3 linked regions of the Drosophila melanogaster genome follow. The protein of the gene in region 2 purifies or fractionates together with the protein of the main gene of each other region. This does not show direct contact. Each region holds a gene or a part of one and is shown on either strand. Other genes may lie near its edges. The genes, in order: cpa, Arp2 and Arpc4.

Evidence for each region.
Region 1: the proteins of Arp2 (region 2) and cpa purify together in Drosophila melanogaster (affinity purification with mass spectrometry, with the first as the bait; one large-scale study listed by BioGRID). This does not show direct contact.
Region 3: the proteins of Arp2 (region 2) and Arpc4 purify together in Drosophila melanogaster (affinity purification with mass spectrometry, with the first as the bait; one large-scale study listed by BioGRID). This does not show direct contact.

What each region holds. Positions count from the first base shown.
Region 1 is NT_033778.4:21,056,139-21,061,060, reverse strand, and holds cpa (capping protein alpha), read right to left. Parts: upstream 3,275-4,922; 5' UTR 3,040-3,274; coding exon 2,799-3,039; intron 2,678-2,798; coding exon 2,508-2,677; intron 2,450-2,507; coding exon 2,000-2,449; 3' UTR 1,178-1,999; downstream 1-1,177. Other genes in the region: mRpL54 (mitochondrial ribosomal protein L54), read right to left, coding at 46-148; CG15653 (uncharacterized protein), read left to right, coding at 593-881, 939-1,162; shg (shotgun), read left to right, coding at 4,588-4,922. UniProt on the Drosophila melanogaster protein: F-actin-capping proteins bind in a Ca(2+)-independent manner to the fast growing ends of actin filaments (barbed end) thereby blocking the exchange of subunits at these ends.
Region 2 is NC_004354.4:16,548,002-16,556,150, forward strand, and holds Arp2 (Actin-related protein 2), read right to left. Parts: upstream 5,951-8,149; 5' UTR 5,391-5,950; coding exon 5,343-5,390; intron 4,450-5,342; coding exon 4,339-4,449; intron 3,489-4,338; coding exon 3,474-3,488; intron 2,465-3,473; coding exon 2,249-2,464; intron 2,186-2,248; coding exon 1,976-2,185; intron 1,906-1,975; coding exon 1,477-1,905; intron 1,412-1,476; coding exon 1,241-1,411; 3' UTR 784-1,240; downstream 1-783. UniProt on the Drosophila melanogaster protein: Functions as ATP-binding component of the Arp2/3 complex which is involved in regulation of actin polymerization and together with an activating nucleation-promoting factor (NPF) mediates the formation of branched actin networks.
Region 3 is NT_033779.5:6,123,223-6,126,728, forward strand, and holds Arpc4 (Actin-related protein 2/3 complex, subunit 4), read left to right. Parts: upstream 1-1,909; 5' UTR 1,910-2,026; coding exon 2,027-2,533; intron 2,534-2,601; 3' UTR 2,602-2,689; downstream 2,690-3,506. Other genes in the region: WDR79 (WD repeat domain 79), read right to left, coding at 2,710-3,373, 3,433-3,506.

The sequences.
Region 1 (4,922 bases), on a different chromosome or scaffold from region 2:
TTTACTATTAGTTGTTAACTATTTAACCTGGATGTGGAGGCTCACCTGGCGCCGCCGGTTTTGCAGCATAAAAACGTGCCCAGTTTCCTATCGCTGGGGCTATCAATCGCTGCCTCGCCATCTGGAAAACTGCGGTTAGGCTGGTCATGTCTGCTATGTGCTTTATTTAATCCGTTTTCGTCACTTTAATAGAAAAACAAATGATAAATTACAGATATTTACAAAACTGTGCGTTTTGTTGTATAATCTGCTAACTATAAGTGTGGCACTGCAGCCCTGGTTATAAAGTATACGACCAGTCAGCTGATTTTTCAAAACAAATAACTATCGAAATTATTTTTAAATGAAAAGCAATTTTATGAGCAATTTTATAATATGACTTAATTGTCACTAAAACAACATAACAATAGATGATGTTGTTATATTTTCTGCAAATAATTTGCATATAAATGCATTTAGAGGTGGACTTCGGTCTTAATAAGCCTTTTCACATAACGATATCGACCAGCTGTCATCGCTAATTCGACGCCGGCTATACGGTATATTACACAAGTAACAGCAGCTGGATTGTAAATAAAAAAGCGTTAGCAAGATGGTTGGACTCAAGTTTCCGTCGAACCGAACACTGGGCAATATTTGTGTCTACGGTGCGGTGGCCTCCATATCCGCTGTGATGTACATGAAATGGAAGATGGAGGATCGGGTGAAATCCGCAGAGTACTACAAACTGGCCTTGAAGGCACTGCGGAGCCATCGAGGAGCAGTTGGTCTCCTGGGTGAACCCATCAAGGACTCTGGCATCGATCTGTCCAACGCCAACAACAATTGCAATGCGGAGGAGGCGCGTTGTGAGGTGGCTGTGCGGGGCAGCAAGGATAAAGGTAGATCCATCGATTTTGAAAGCAAATCTTTGGCGTTTACCAACCTTATATTTGCAGGAACTTTATACTTTTGGGCGTCCAATCAGCCGGATAGAGGCTGGCTGATCGATCGACTGGAGCTGGAAACAAAACTCAACCCAGAGAAACGATTTTTGCTTAAAAAATCCGAGGAACTAACCTTCGATCTGCCCGAGAGTATAACCAAACAAACTGCCCAGCAAGTTGATTCCAATGTCATTCTATCCGCATCGGATCAACAACCAGAAACACATTCAAAGTGAAGACAATCCGAATGTCCGATTCAATTAGTTTATTCTCTTTAAATTTGACTAATTCAAGCAATCTTAAATGTTTTATAGTTATGTTATTTTAATTACAAATTTATTGTTTTTATAAAATCAAAGTCTTTAGTTATTGTTTGTCAATGGAGAGCTGGCAAAAATGATCAGTGGTTTAGCATAGTTATTATTCATGCTCATACTAGGTGGTTGGTTTGTGAACAATCGGGAAAGCGAAAAACTTGAATGAGTGCTCCTAATGATACCACTTAAAATAGTCGAGAGTCGGCTGGTTGGTCTTCAAAGACACGAAGAATTGACTGGCTCATCGAGAGCGCAGATCTCGAGCTTGATTCGTTTAAAATTAGAATAATACATAGGTCAGAGGACATGATAAAATCCGCGTTTAATGCTCTTCTTAAACGATAAAGGCGACAATTGGTGGCGATCGTGACGTAGACGAGGCGGCAGTGCATCGTTCACCGTCAGGCTAAAGTCATCCAAATCCTTGCAATCAAATCGTCTCCGATCGTACTCGATATATGTGTAGTTATGTTTACGCACTTTCGTCGTTGTATAACACAGTATAAATACAGGCCGTATATATATATATAAGTAGGTATATGTTCGTATGTATATAGCCAATTACAGACATTTGCTTTTTCGGCAGGCACCTGCACCTGGCCGCCCTCGTTTCTCGTATTCCTGCTACTTCGTTTCGGATGCTGTGGTGTTAATGCTGGTGATCGGTTCCTATGCTCGCTTGGCCATGGCAAGTGGAAGACTATTGGGCCGCTTTGTCGACTGTGTCCGCTCCTCTTCCGCTTGCACCTCCTGGTCTTATTGCGTCTTCAGTTCCTTGCCAATGCTGTACGAGACGATTTTGCTCCAGTCGATCTTGGTCCTGGTGATGGGCAACTGGCGACGCATTGCCTTGAATGTCGTGTCCGACATCGTCTGATAGTTCTCCGAAATGGCCAGCTGGTACTCATTCTCGGCGTCCTCGATCAGACGGATCACCTCCTTGGCCACCTGCTGCTCGTTGCTGACCACCACGCTTTCGCGGCACTCCTTTGAGGACACCAGCTGGACGTTGCCGTCCTCGTAGTAATGCACCTGCACCTTGAGCACACCCTTCAGTTCGGCGGTTCCGCTGCCCGCCTGGAAGGTCACATGCCACTGGGAGCGCCATCGGCCATTCCAATAGTTCTTCGGCTGGAACTGGTGGTCTTCGATGCAAATGGTCAGGGTGATCTGGTTGCCCTGCGCCTTTCCAAAAACAGAGCTGACCTGTAGAGAAAATGTTACGGGTTATTGTAAGCAATAGAGCGTTTTTCATTCAACTTACCCCGTGTCTATAATGACTGGCAGTGTAGGCGAGCGTCTCCAGGTCGAGGGCCGCCCTCCAGGGCTCCGCAGTGGCATCTGCCTCTACGTCCTGGTAGTCGGAAGCCTCTTTTCGGAGGTGGTCGTATTTGAAGGCTTGCTTTGTGCGCGGGTCGTAGAAGCGACCGTTTCCTGGAATGCAATTGCTTATCAGTGTGGGGCTCAAGATATCGACCGAAAGCCAAACAATGTGTGTAGGTGACTCATATGGCAGGCTTTGTCCATTTAAGGGCATTGATGGAACTGAACTCACCCAGATCGTTGTGTTCCGATATGATGGCGTTATGATCGGTGCCCTCGATGCGAACCGGAGTCAGCTGGTCCTTGTTGTATTGGGCGAAGGCGTGGCTAGCCCCATCCTTTAGCAGAGTGTCATTCTTGAGGAGCTCCCGCACATCGTTGAACACTTCGTTGAACTCGCCGGGCGGCGCATGTAGGATGAAGTCCGATACGATGCGCACCTTCTCCGCATCGGTGATCGGTGTCTGCTCCATAGTTCCACTGGTGATTCACGAAATCGGGGCTGGGCGGTTGTTTGGTTTGGTCTGGTTTCCCCTCCGGTTCCTAGGGTTCTACCTTTCGACGGGATCTTCTTGTGGAGTGGTTGGAAGTTGCGGTGTCGCTGGAACTCTTCCTTGACCGTTTTTTCGGCGCTGCAATCTTTTTTCTCCGCAATTAATGGGCCAAGACGATGACGATTCGATTCACTTTTTTTTCCACTCTTTGCTAGGGATGGGAAATATTTGTGTACCTGTACCGGATGCGATTCACCGTATTTTACGGGCAGTCTACACTGCTCCATAATCCGACGGGTGAATGGCAAAAGTCTTGGCGCGTTACTTGAATTGCAATAAAAAAACTTTTAACGATGTAGAATGTAATACATTATAGAAATAGTTCCTCGAGACCAATAAATATCATTGCCTGTTCAAAACCAAACTCAATCAGAACTTTTTTAAAGCAAATTATGTTATTGTTGTACATGGTAGCTAGTTTTGGTTATTAAATATTTTTCAGTTATATAAGTATTAAAGTATTGATCAACTCGTTTAAAATTAACCTGTTTGTTTGTGAAAAATAGTTGTTAATAATTCTATTTGAAAGCCCAAGCTGGGCCATTTTTATCTTCCAGCTTCCATTTTTAAAGAAATATTTGTTATATTAAATCCAGTGTAATTGATTCACATCAACGTATTTATCGAGAAGTGTAGACAGTATATAGTATCGATAAAACGAAAACATCGAGATTATTAACCGTTAATTATCGATGACCGAGGAATCGACGGTGTCTCACATCTCTAACGCCGCCCGTTGTTTTTGTTGCATTGTGTTTTTGCTTTTGAATTGAGCGGTTGTCTCGCGCGTCGATCGCAGTTTCAAAATCGGTGTGGCTCCGCAGCTTCGTTGTAAGTCGACAATAAAAGCGATCGAAGTGAAAGAAAATACGTTTTGCGATCTTTTTATTTAAAATAATTCGCCAGAAAGTACAAGTTCACAACGAAATACCATCGAAAAGTGCCTTTTTACCAAAAGTCGTTGGTAACACACATACCAACGCAGCGAACCGAACCACACGCACACAAATGCGCGCGCTTGGCGGTGTGCGTGTAACCACTTTTTTACCTGGTCTTACCTGTTTGCGGTGCGAAAGAGAGGAGGCAACAGAAACGGAGAAAGAGAGTGCCCAAGCGGACGAGTGAAAGATAAAAGTGAACGAAAATATCAGCCAGAGCAGCTGCACCGAAATCGGAATAAGTCAGTTAACAATCAGGGCGCGCACTGTACGAGTTCGATTCGATTGATAATTATTGAGCGGTTGCCATGAAAATGCAGTCCAAACAAACGGTACACTGAGAGAAACGAAACAAGAAGAAGAGTGCAAATAGAATAGAATAAAAAAGAAGTGGAAGTAGAAGTGGGCAACACAAACAAAAGTAAAAGGTGTGTGAGTGAAATAATACTGGGTGATTCACGAAGAAGTGCTCAAAAGTGTTGCGGTTGAAAAAAAGAGAGTCTGCGATGGCGGATCGCCGCTAGAGAGTATGTCCACCAGTGTCCAGCGAATGTCCAGAAGCTACCACTGCATCAATATGTCGGCGACCCCGCAGGCCGGCCACCTAAATCCCGCCCAGCAACAGACGCACCAGCAGCACAAGCGAAAATGCCGCGACCTTGGCAGGCGACTAATCCCCGCGAGACTCCTCCTGGGCGTTATCGTGGCCATCAGCCTTCTGTCACCCGCCCTCGCACTTCACTCGCCGCCGGACAAAAACTTTTCCGGCGACAATCGTAAGCCCGCCTTCAAAAACTGCGCCGGATACGCTCCTAAGGTCAAAGAGGAGCAGCCCGAAAACACCTACGTTCTCACCGTAGAGGC
Region 2 (8,149 bases):
CGGGCATGCCCTCACTTTTAAAAAAAAGTTTTGAATTTTTTCATATTTTTATTAGTCTCTTAAATTTCTATCCATTTGCCAAACAACTCTTTTCGGGTATCTGATAGTCGGGGAATTCGACTATAGCATGCTCTCTTGTTGTCATTTTTGTTTTGTTTTTAATTTGGCAAAAAAAAAACCATAAAAAAGTCGTATGCGATTTAGTTTTAGACTACAGTATACAGTACACATCATACATAATTACGTTTATTGCATTCACTTACATAATTGGCATTCCACATTCATTTTACATATACGGATATATGTATATGGATCACACATATGTATATGTATATACTATTCATCATATGCCGATAGTTGCGACCCCAACAATCATCAAATTGCAACTAACTAGAAAAGGCAGGTAAGGAAATTAAATCAAATTTAACACTTCGACTGATGGTACTTTCGATTATGGGGCAACGTAAATGCGTAATCTTGTGACTTCGATTATCTGTATCTTTATGGGTAGGTAACTTCATCTTTATCTAGTTGGAGACAATCCAGAAATGCTTACTTTAAGGTCGAGTGTCGGGAGGCGAGACGGGATCGAATCAATCAGTGTATTTAGTTAACGACCGAACTCGCGCTTTCTCCTTCTGTGCTATGCAACTTCCTCGTTATATTTCCTCTGTCTCTGTCTCTGTCTTAACACACACACGATTTTAGTAGCTGCTACTAGCAGACTTGGCCTAGTTAATACTTAATGTGAAATACTCGCTGGAAATGAAACATTTTGCGTTTACAAAAATATCGCCGCACTCGAGGTGCTTTGAATTTATATATGTATATATATATAGTTATATATGCGTATTCATTAAAGAAAAGGGCTTTTGGGTTTGAATTTTAGACGTAATTATAAACAATTAAACACACTAATGCAGGGTTACACAATTTAGGCGACTATCGAATTAAAGTTTTCGCGCTCAAAGAAATATTACATTATATTGTACGGGGATAACGACCAGTGACGACATGTCTGCGATTATAGATAATCTAAGGGCAAGTGGACCAATCCTGCTCAACAGACACGCCCACTCGCACAGGCACACACAAAAAAAAAAACATATATAGACGGATATATCACGTAAATCTGAAAGGTTTAAACCTATAGAAAATAGAGAAAAGAAATCTATCACTTTTTTATCCTATTTCTTGCGGTCCGCACACACACACACACTGATTTCGCATCCATCCGCCTCTAGTGACTGATCTTTTGCAGCTTTTGCAATACTTTGAGACCCTGTTCCTGATACTCCTGCTTGGACATCCAGAAGCCGTCGCGATCCTTTGTCACCTCCGCCAGAACAGCTCCGCCGATAAAGACCATATCCTTGCGTCGCGGTGGATCCTCAATGCGTATTTTGAATTTCTGCAATGTAATCGTTCAATTTGTTAAACACGATGTGCATTGATTAGCTTTACTTGACAACTTACCGCCAGCTTTTCCGTATCGTTCTTGAGTACCCGCTCCAGGTACAGCTGTTTGATCTCACGCTCCAGCCGACTGGGAAGACCCGGATACATGGTGGAGCCGCCGGACAGAACTATGTGCTTGTAGAGTTCGGGCCGTATGTCGATGTCTGCCGCCTGGATGGTGTTGAAGGCCAGTTCCGCAATGCCCGGTCCCTCGACGTTGATCAAATGCGGCTGGAACAGAGCCTCTGGCGCCTCAAATCTCTCGCCACCGACCTTGATAACACGACCGTCGGGTAGCGTGTACGATTCCACCAGCACCGTCGTCTCCAGGGCCAAACGCTGCTCCATCTCGATGTCGTAGCCAATGTAGCAGAGCTTCTCCTTCATTATGCGAACCGTTTCGAAGTCGGCGGAATGATTGAAAGCGTAGCCACGTAGTAACAGTAACTAATGATCATAGATAGATGCGAAAGTATAAGTCACAGTTTGGCTATATGTAATTGTAAGGCAAAGCAACCTTAATCAAATAGCGAGTGATATCCCGACCGGCAATGTCCAATCGTCGCGTCAGATGGGGCAGGGCAAACTCCTCGTAGACGGGACATATATGCGTTACACCATCGCCCGAATCGATCACCACGCCAGAGATCAGACCCTGGGCATATAGCGTCAGCACGGCCTGGATGGCAATGTACGCCGAATCGAAGCCATATTTCTCGAACATCACCTGTGAACACAAACACAACAATGTTAGTTTGAAGTGGGATTTTAAAATATGGTATGACCTCACCTCAATCATCTTCTCGCGATTCTTTGTGGGATTCATGGGCGGCTCGGTTAGCAGGATTTTTGTGTTCGTCGGATCGATGTCCATCTTTTTGGGACCGAACGTGTAGTCCCACACGTGGCACATGTCGTCCCAGTTGCGCACCACACCGTTCTCCATCGGATAGGAGACCTCCAGCAGGGATCGCAGCTGTGAGGCCTCATCGCCGACCATCAGATCCTGTAAATTCGTTCGTCAGAGGACGCAGCGTTAGTGTCCGTGGCTTGGTCAATGGATAGCCATTGGGATTCGGATTGGTTTGGACTGTTTGGTTGGTTGGATGGTTGATTGGTTGGGTATTTGCTTAGAGGCTGGGATGGTTAGTCATTAGTGTGGGAGACATACACAGGTGTTAGGCACAATAACAGCGAGCACACTACAAGAATGCAACTAAACTCGTCTAAACAATCAACGATTAACAAGAGGCAGCAGTGAGTGTGAGTAGTTGCGGAAAAGGACTTGCCTTTCCGGAACACTGGCAAACACAGGGACGTGCAAAACAAACGGGGGATTAAAATAGGGCTAAGCAGACACAGGACATCATGCAGACGAGAACACATAACAATTTCAAATCAGCAAATCACAATTAAAACGAGAAGCAACTGAATTTGGTTGCCTTAAGATATGTACAAAAAAAACCAAAGGGTGTAAGCTAGGAAACAAATGGTATGAAAACATAGGAGTAAAACTTAAATAACAAAAATTATATTTACGTAAATTTGTCGTTAAATTGAACAGATTCGATTGGAATTCGGTTTTAAACACGCCTCAGATTTATCCGATATGAGAATTAATAGATTTGTTTTTTTTTTTAATTTTTTTTTTTCGATTGTGGATTTTGTCGATTTTGTGGATGGAGTACAATTATAGATGATGGCCAAAAGGAAGCAACAAGATAGTTGGACGGGGCCGGAATATAGTTGGGAAAATATTCAAGGCAAACAACTAGTGAAAAATGTGAACAGTTAACAGTTAAGTTAATTAATTAATTAAATCCTAAGTGCGCAGCTTGAACTTCAAAAAAATTTCGCAATATTTTGCCAAGCGTGTGTTATTTTGGTTTTTGGTATTTTCGTATTGTGTCAATCGTATACAAATTTTTATTATTTTATGTTTACTTGGTGATTAGATTTCTGGTAGTGGTAGTTTGGATTTTGGTTTTTTTTTTAACTATACAAACTTGACTTACATCGACATGTAAATCCTGCAAAACATTTGTTTTTAAAAATATATGTGAAAAAAAGAACAGAAAAATGTATAAGAATATTAAAAAAGAACAGAAAGATTACAATTTTAAAAATATTTATTTTCTGTATCGTTTTTTTTTTTATTGCTATTCAAGATGTGTTCTTAATGATTCTTAATTTGATGTTTCTTCTGTCTAAAGTAAAGAACTTCTAAGTAAGATCTATATATCGAAAATCAAGTGATGCACTCAAAAAAAAAAAAAGCTTAATGTCTGCGGGGTTCAGCCTCCATATCCACAGTTTATTAAGCTATGCCTAAACCTTGGTTAAAATCAGATATCCACGGACCAACTTTTAGCATGATATATTTACCATAATATATATTTATATATTTTGTATGCATGTGTATAATAATATGAGGGCCCACACACCGAGACCAATGCAACTCAAGCAAAAATGCAATATTGGGATAAGTGACCCCCAGAAGTGATGAAATCAAGATGGTAAATGAAACGATATGCGAATGGGGTAGATCGAAAACAAATTATATAGAAGTAAGTAGATATGCGACACTAATAGACAGAATAGAAAATAGAGCAATTCCACTCCAAAATCAGATGGGTTAGGGGTGAAAAAATATGGTGGGTAATTTGGTGGATAGTGAACTTCTATGCGCTAAATGTATTTCTTGCCGTTTAACTAGTCATGGAGTAGTTACATCGAAAAAAAAAATGATATAATATATGGATATTCGTGTATTTGATGGCCTGTGCACAATTGAATTTGTGTAGTGTATATGGTTGTACTATCTCATCATATTGTTAATTAATTTTAGATACTTTAATTGGTAAGTACGATGGATCATACCTTGACTTCGATATCGCCGATTTTGTTGACCGCCCGAATCATGGGTCGTCCCACCATCGAGGGAAAAATGTGGGTGGGGAAATTGCTGCCGGCATATCCGCACTTAACGAACTGAAAAATAAATGGAGATGTCATAAATACATATATTTATATTATGGTGTATGTGGAAACACATTAAAATAATATGACAGCCGACATATGTACATATATTATTATTTGAGTTAAGCCCTAACACGTAATATGATAATTTAAAATGCTTTTGTATCAACAGGTACTTAAAAATTGCACATAATAATAATAAATAATTATTTTTAATCATTTTGTTTAAGACCAGCTATATCATTTTTCCCGGTGCAGCATTTCCTTGCGTTTTTACTGCTGTGACTTATCGAATTCGGACCGTTATCACAAAACAAAAATTTTTGAATTAGTTTTGATTATTTGGTTTAGGACCAGCTAAATCATTTTTCTCGGTGCAGCATTTGCTTGCGCTTTTACTGTTGTGGTTTATCGGACGCTTATCGAAATCGGACCGTTATCACAATACAAAAATTCTGGGCCTGCGATAAGAACTGATTGTCGGAAATTTTATGGAAGTGTTGGTGTGTGCCAGTGTCGCTCTTTCGACAAATATGTAGGTGTGGGAGATACTGAGTAACGCTGGAATCGTGAGTAATCCACTGATTAGTCAAGCGGAGAGCAAGAAGAAGAGTGGGGAAGCGGAATATAAAGGAGAGGAAGAGGCAATCGCGTAATTGCAACTGCTGCAACTGCTTGACTAACCGCGACGTCAACGCCCGCTGGCCAGCAAGCAGTGAAATAAGCAGCAGCAGCAGAAGCGCTGCTTAGTCCACAAGAAGAAGAAAACGAAAGAAGCGCAGCCAACAACACTCGAAATGTGTGTCACACACCAGTCGTTGGTGATGGTGTGGGTGTGTGCGCTCTGTTTTCACCGCTTGTGGGTGATGTGGGCGGTGCGGGTGGTGACTTTCCCGTTATCTTACCCCAGTGCCGTTATCACAGACGATAACATTTCGACCCTTGCTGTCCATGCTTGAAGGACTCAAAACCGGATCTCTGGAAAACCACTGCTTCTGCTACTCCCGTTGCTTCTGCCTCTGCTGTGGCAACTGCCTTTCCACTTCCACTGATGACGCGACCAGGTTGCCTTTTTGGGTGTTGGTTGTGATTCGGTTTGAAATCACAGCTCGCAGCGCCTCTGCTCGATAAAACCAAACAAAATATTGCACATCAATCGCCTTTCCTGTTGACTTCCTGGGCCGTTTGTTGAGCACTACTGTTAATTGATTCCTTTTCGGCTTTTTTTGTATTTGGACCGCCGGAGAGCGATTGTACTTAATCATACACTTTCCTCTTCCACTCGCACACTCTCACAACACGCGGGCGGGAACCTTGCTCTCTTCGCCACTCTATCGCTTACGTTTATCGCCGCTTCGTTTGGCGGTTATTGGGAATTGAACTCTTAATTTAGACTCGCAATTAAATTTAGGCCGAAACAGTTTGCCGCTATCGACTATTTATACTTATAATTTAGTTATACTGCTGTACAAAAACTCCCTCGTTACTCCCCAGAGTTGAATAAAAATAGATGCATATTCGATACTATCGGCGTTGGACTGAAGCGTACAAAACACCGAAAATAAATACCAGAACCGTTTAGATACTAGATCCAATTATATTTTTTTATTATTTTACAAATTTGTTAATTAAGTTTACTAGTCTGTGTGCCACTTTTAACAATTTAAAAAAGATTAAAAAATACAAGTTTATTAGTAATATATGTTACTTGCACAGGATTTACACAAAACAATTTCAATTCAATTAAGACTTTATTAATTAAATTATTGGATTAAAGATTTGGCAATTTAACAACTAATCACATCTATTTGAAAAACCAATTCGGCAATTGCTGAAATTTCAAAATACTCACATTGATTTCTGGTATTTTTCGTTTGCGCTCTTGCCTCTCGTTCACTCTCATACTTGGAAAAATATTCTTGAATTAAGACTTAAAACAGGTTCAAAATTTGGCGCCATCATTGAATACATGCATGTATTTAAAGAATTGTAATTTAAGCAATTAAGAAGAAAAATGATAACTTGACAATACTGCTCCCAAGGATAAAAAGTTAAGTGATCGAACGCCATAAAATGGAAAGTTTGTTGCTGATTTATTTTATTCCGTTTATATAGTATGTATATGTATGTATAATTTAATAATATAATAAACGTTACTCATTTGTTATCTTTATAATTGCTTTAAGAGGCGAAATGTCTTATATATGTATGTATATACCATGCAGCCGTCTCGTTCCCGCATTTTTTGATTCTGCTTTTGTCTGGGTATTATGTGTTATATTGAACGTTTTAATGCTTTTTAAATAGTTCCCATAAGTATGTTGGCATGGTCTTGACGTACATATTATCAAAATCTACTCATCTCCTCCTCAGCCGTTCTATTCAATTATTTACTTTTACTATGTGCCAGGAAGTTTTGCCTATGCCTCATGCAATAGTTATGTACTTTCTTTATCGAGGGAACTAAGCAAATGTATTGTTAGTCATACATAGTGTAGAATTATTAATACTTCTTAGCTTTATTATTTACCATGGCTCTTGATACACTCGGAATGCAAATCGCCCTAAGAGAATCCAAAATTTACAATTAATTTATTTCAGAAAATTATCTGAATATTGCCTACGTTTAATGGCTTAAAATGTATAGTTCTTTGATAATTAAACTATATTAAAAAAAAAAAATTAAAACTTAATTGTTGACCTATGCGTATTTTGGTATTAACAATTGAAATAAATATTTGTTGTTTTTCAAAAATTATACCTGAAATGTTGTCCATCAATAGAAACATTTGTTTATAGCCTAACAATATGGAATTTAGTTTTCAATTTCATTATTTTAAATCCGTAAAAACCCATACTTGTTGAAAATATTTGCGGCGATTTTCGAACATAAATGCCGATTGATTTTCTGAGTGTATACAATCATTCTATGGAATTGGTGTTCTTGGCGTTCAATACTCGAGACTATTGCAATTAAATGTGATTTGGGGGAACTCCCATTTCACTCGACTAACTAACTAAGTATGCATTTGCGGTGTAACAACATTAACAATTTTAACCACATATAGAACAGAAACTCTGAAACTTAAACGGCCCAACAGCTTTCATCAACTTTCAATAATTATATAGTTGTGGTGGAGGATTAACAAAAAAAAAAAACGCTATATATATATCTATATAAATATGGTGTATCTCTCAATTAGTTGAGTAAGTTGTTTCCATTTCTCCATCTTTTTTTTTTTTATAAAAGCTAAGAGGGAAACTCTGCGACTGCCGCCTCATCCTTGATTTGTTTCTTTTAGCTACGATTTAATTAATCTTGGTATTGTTACGATACGTGCATAGATCACTAAAACTAACTGTTTTCCAATGCCAACTCGGTATATAATATATATATATATCTGTATAAATATTTAGATTAGAGTTCAATGCAATTATTGGTGGTTGAAGAGTCGAAGCAAAAGTACAGCGTTAATATTCTTGGTTCGTGGATAATATGATCTCGATGAAGGCATTTCTTGCGTGAGTATGTATGTGGTATATCTTATAGCTTTTGATTTCGCATTGATAGTGGTTGTGATTAGTGATAAAGGAGAAGCTGATATCATCGGTTTTTGGGAAGAGGTGTAGGCGCAAATTGAGAACTTGATTGCCATCATTATCATTGAATTGATCTGAAACGCCGAAACTCATCCGTTTCTCATGTGTGTGC
Region 3 (3,506 bases), on a different chromosome or scaffold from region 2:
ATGAAAGCAAACGAAGCGAAGGGCAAGGGCAAAGTCTCAAGATACCGCTGAGCGAGTTTTCTCACGAGCTCTATAATGAAACACGAATAAGCTACTATAAAGCGAAAAGAAATGAATGCTTACGGCAAGTTAATGCAAAAAAAAAATTAGTAAAGGAAATCTACATTTAAACTTAAAAGCCCAGGCAGAAAAGCCTATGCAAGTTGAATGCATGCCTGTCATTTAAAATTTCAAATTCTTTTAAAAGTTCACGTTGATTTCAGTTGAAAGTTTAAAACACTTTTTACCTTGAGTTCCAAGAATGTTATATTCGTTTTGGATTCATTATTTTCAAAGTCTTAGTCTTGAATGTTCAAGTTTTTTTTTTTTTTTAATTACTGTGGCATCGACTGAGGTATTCTCAAAATAATAAGCACGCTGTATTTGCATCTATGAATGGCTTTCGCGAGTAAAAATTTGAAAATGTTTTTAATTAAGTTAATGTATACTTTAGTGGTAATTTTAATTTACTAACTTGCAACAACATGATACATATACATGCTGAATATAGTTTTACACTAACAAATAATTTGTTCTTATAAGTTTCGCATTTTCTATCTATAAAATAAATGTCTAACAGAAAAAATACATAAGAAATGCTTATACAATTCAATAAAATCAAATACCATGTAAAACACACGAAACGCATTTTTCCTTTATTTACATACAACACAAACACTAAAAACGCTGATATAGACATTAATATAAATGGAAGGAAACTACGTATAAGCATACATTAATGTGTGTAATATTATATGGAAATGCATATTTTGTCTAACGTCGGGTTATTTTTAGAAATGGGTTTAAGAGGAGAGTGAATGTGGGGGTTATAATAAAAAAAAAAAAAAGTATTTAGGGCAAACCAAATGGAATATTTAGGAAAATTTTTTCCAAAAACCTGCGAGTTATTTTTAATTTTGCACCAAAGGGCGCTTTAAAGATTAGCTTAAATTTAAATCTTATATCGTTATATATGTATGTGTACTCGTGTAAACCTATGGCTTCTACAAATGAATATCAATAACATAAATCTCTTAATAAAAATGTGCATTGGCAAAACAATTTAACACGCACAGGACACCAAATTACCCAGACACGAAAACTTTCAAGCATACTCAAGAAAAAACGAACAAAATATAAACGCAAAGCATAAAATGCTTTGATATTTACTCAATTTATGATATATTAATGTCTAATCCAATGCAATAATCAGCCGAAACATTTTTTGAGTATTGAGAGTAGGAAAGGGTTACAATTTTGAACGATTGATTAAAATACTCACTTTCTAGGTTCACGCATAATTTAAGTTCATATAAGCCACAAATAACTGACCATATGCGAGCAAAAATACTTATAACAATTGTATAATAAAAGTGCATTAAACAAATAAATGCAATATTTATAATTGGTGGATGCTGTTTTCTTCTAAATTAACATTTTTCCTCTTTGCTGGTGTGTTGGGTTTTCGGACTTTAATATGGTACACATATATTTGATATTTCCATTTCAAATTTTAACGCTTCTAGCCATATACATTTTTCTTAAATTTTTAAAATTTAGGTATGATTTAAATTGTTTCACTCCTAAAAATTCCACAAAGATAAGATACAAATGGAAATGGAACAGTGGTTGTGGTCTCGGGTAAGTTCTTGATAGTCAAGTTTCTTACCATCTTAACACAGGACATCATAAGAAATGTTTTAAGTGCGATTTGATAAATGTTTAAAAACAACATGTTTAATATTGATTGTATAAACTTTATGCATAGTCTTCCCAAACATATAATAGAAACTGTTTCATAACAAATTCCAAATAGTTGCTATGTTTTTGCGGCCCCACCTCGGCATTGGTATTTTCCTGCCAGCCGCGCATGGTCACATCTTTTCTGGTTGATAAATTCCAGGGCCTGTGAATCATAATAAGTTAAGTAAAAAGTGCAGATACAACAAACCGCAGGCAGCAGACAACAACCCGACACCCAGACACAATGGCAGCCACATTGAAGCCCTACCTGACCGCCGTGCGACACTCGCTGACGGCGGCGATGTGCCTGCAGGACTTCCCCTCGCAGGTGGTGGAGCGGCACAACAAGCCGGAGGTGGAGATCTGTTCCAGCAAGGAGCTGGTGCTCACGCCCGTCGTCGTGTCGCGCAACGAGCGGGAGAAGGTGCTGATCGAGCCGTCCATTAACTCGGTGCGCGTGAGCATCGCCGTGAAGCAGGCCGACGAGATTGAGCGCATACTGTGCCACAAGTTCACCAGGTTCATGATGCGACGCGCCGAGTCGTTCGTCATACTGCGCCGCAAGCCCATCGAGGGCTACGACATAAGCTTCCTCATCACCAACTTCCACACGGAGCAGATGTATAAGCACAAACTGGTGGACTTTGTCATTAGCTTCATGGAGGAGATCGACAAGGAGATCAGCGAAATGAAACTGGCGGTCAATGCCAGGGCACGCACCTGCGCCGAGGAGTTCCTCAAACGGTTCTAGGTAAGTGTTCCACCTAACAGCCATCGCCATTGAGTCGACGCCAACTTACTCTCGCAAATCCTTTGCAGGTGAAGGCAACCAGTATGGACCCGGTCATGATGCTTTAGTATTTCCAAATGGATTCAAGAATAAAGACGGATTTTGTATTATTTACTCGACTACACCAGTTTTATATGCTATCCCGTTTGGCCGCACCACCACATGACCACTGCGTTCTCGTAGAGAACTTCCTTCTGATTTTGATTCACATCGGCCGGCGCCGGCAACTCCGTCGTTTCCGTTCCGTTTAAGGTCACGTTGTCCCCTTGGGCACTTTGGTCTGTAAAGTGGAACTGCCCCGAGCTGGTGGCTAGAATCGGCATAGCCGGATTGAGTGCCACTCCGTTGCAGCAGTCTGAATGCAGGGGCAGTACGGAAGGATCTCCGTATTTTTTGAGATCCCAAACATTGACGAATCCCCGTGTGTCACCGCTAGCCAGCCAATTGCTGTCGGATGCGAGGTCGAATTGAATACGCTGATTGGTGTCCACATGGCGCTGCAACTCCACCAGTGGCTGCTTGTAGTTGCGCATGTCCCACTGCAAGATCTTATCGCACTTGCGAGCTCCACTGAACAGATGCCACTCCCCGTTGCCAAACTCTCCATAGCGCAGTTGTGTGATGCCGCCCTTGTGCCCTCCCAGCGTGAAGAGAGGACCCTGCTTGTGGCTACACCGCAAGTCAAAGTGCTGGATGTAGCCATGCCAGTTGCCGCAGGTTAGAGTGTGCGGGTGCGCAGTGGTCTGTGCAATGCAGGATATGGCAAACTTGACAGGGTAATCGTCGCAAAAACGTCCGGGTCTACGGAGTAGAGTTTGAGTTGCATTAAATGAGCGTACGAAAATAAGCAGCCGACTCACCTGCTGGTGTCGAAGATCTTGATGCAGCGCTTGTATCCCGCATAGATCTGCTCGCCGTCATGGGAGAAGGCCAA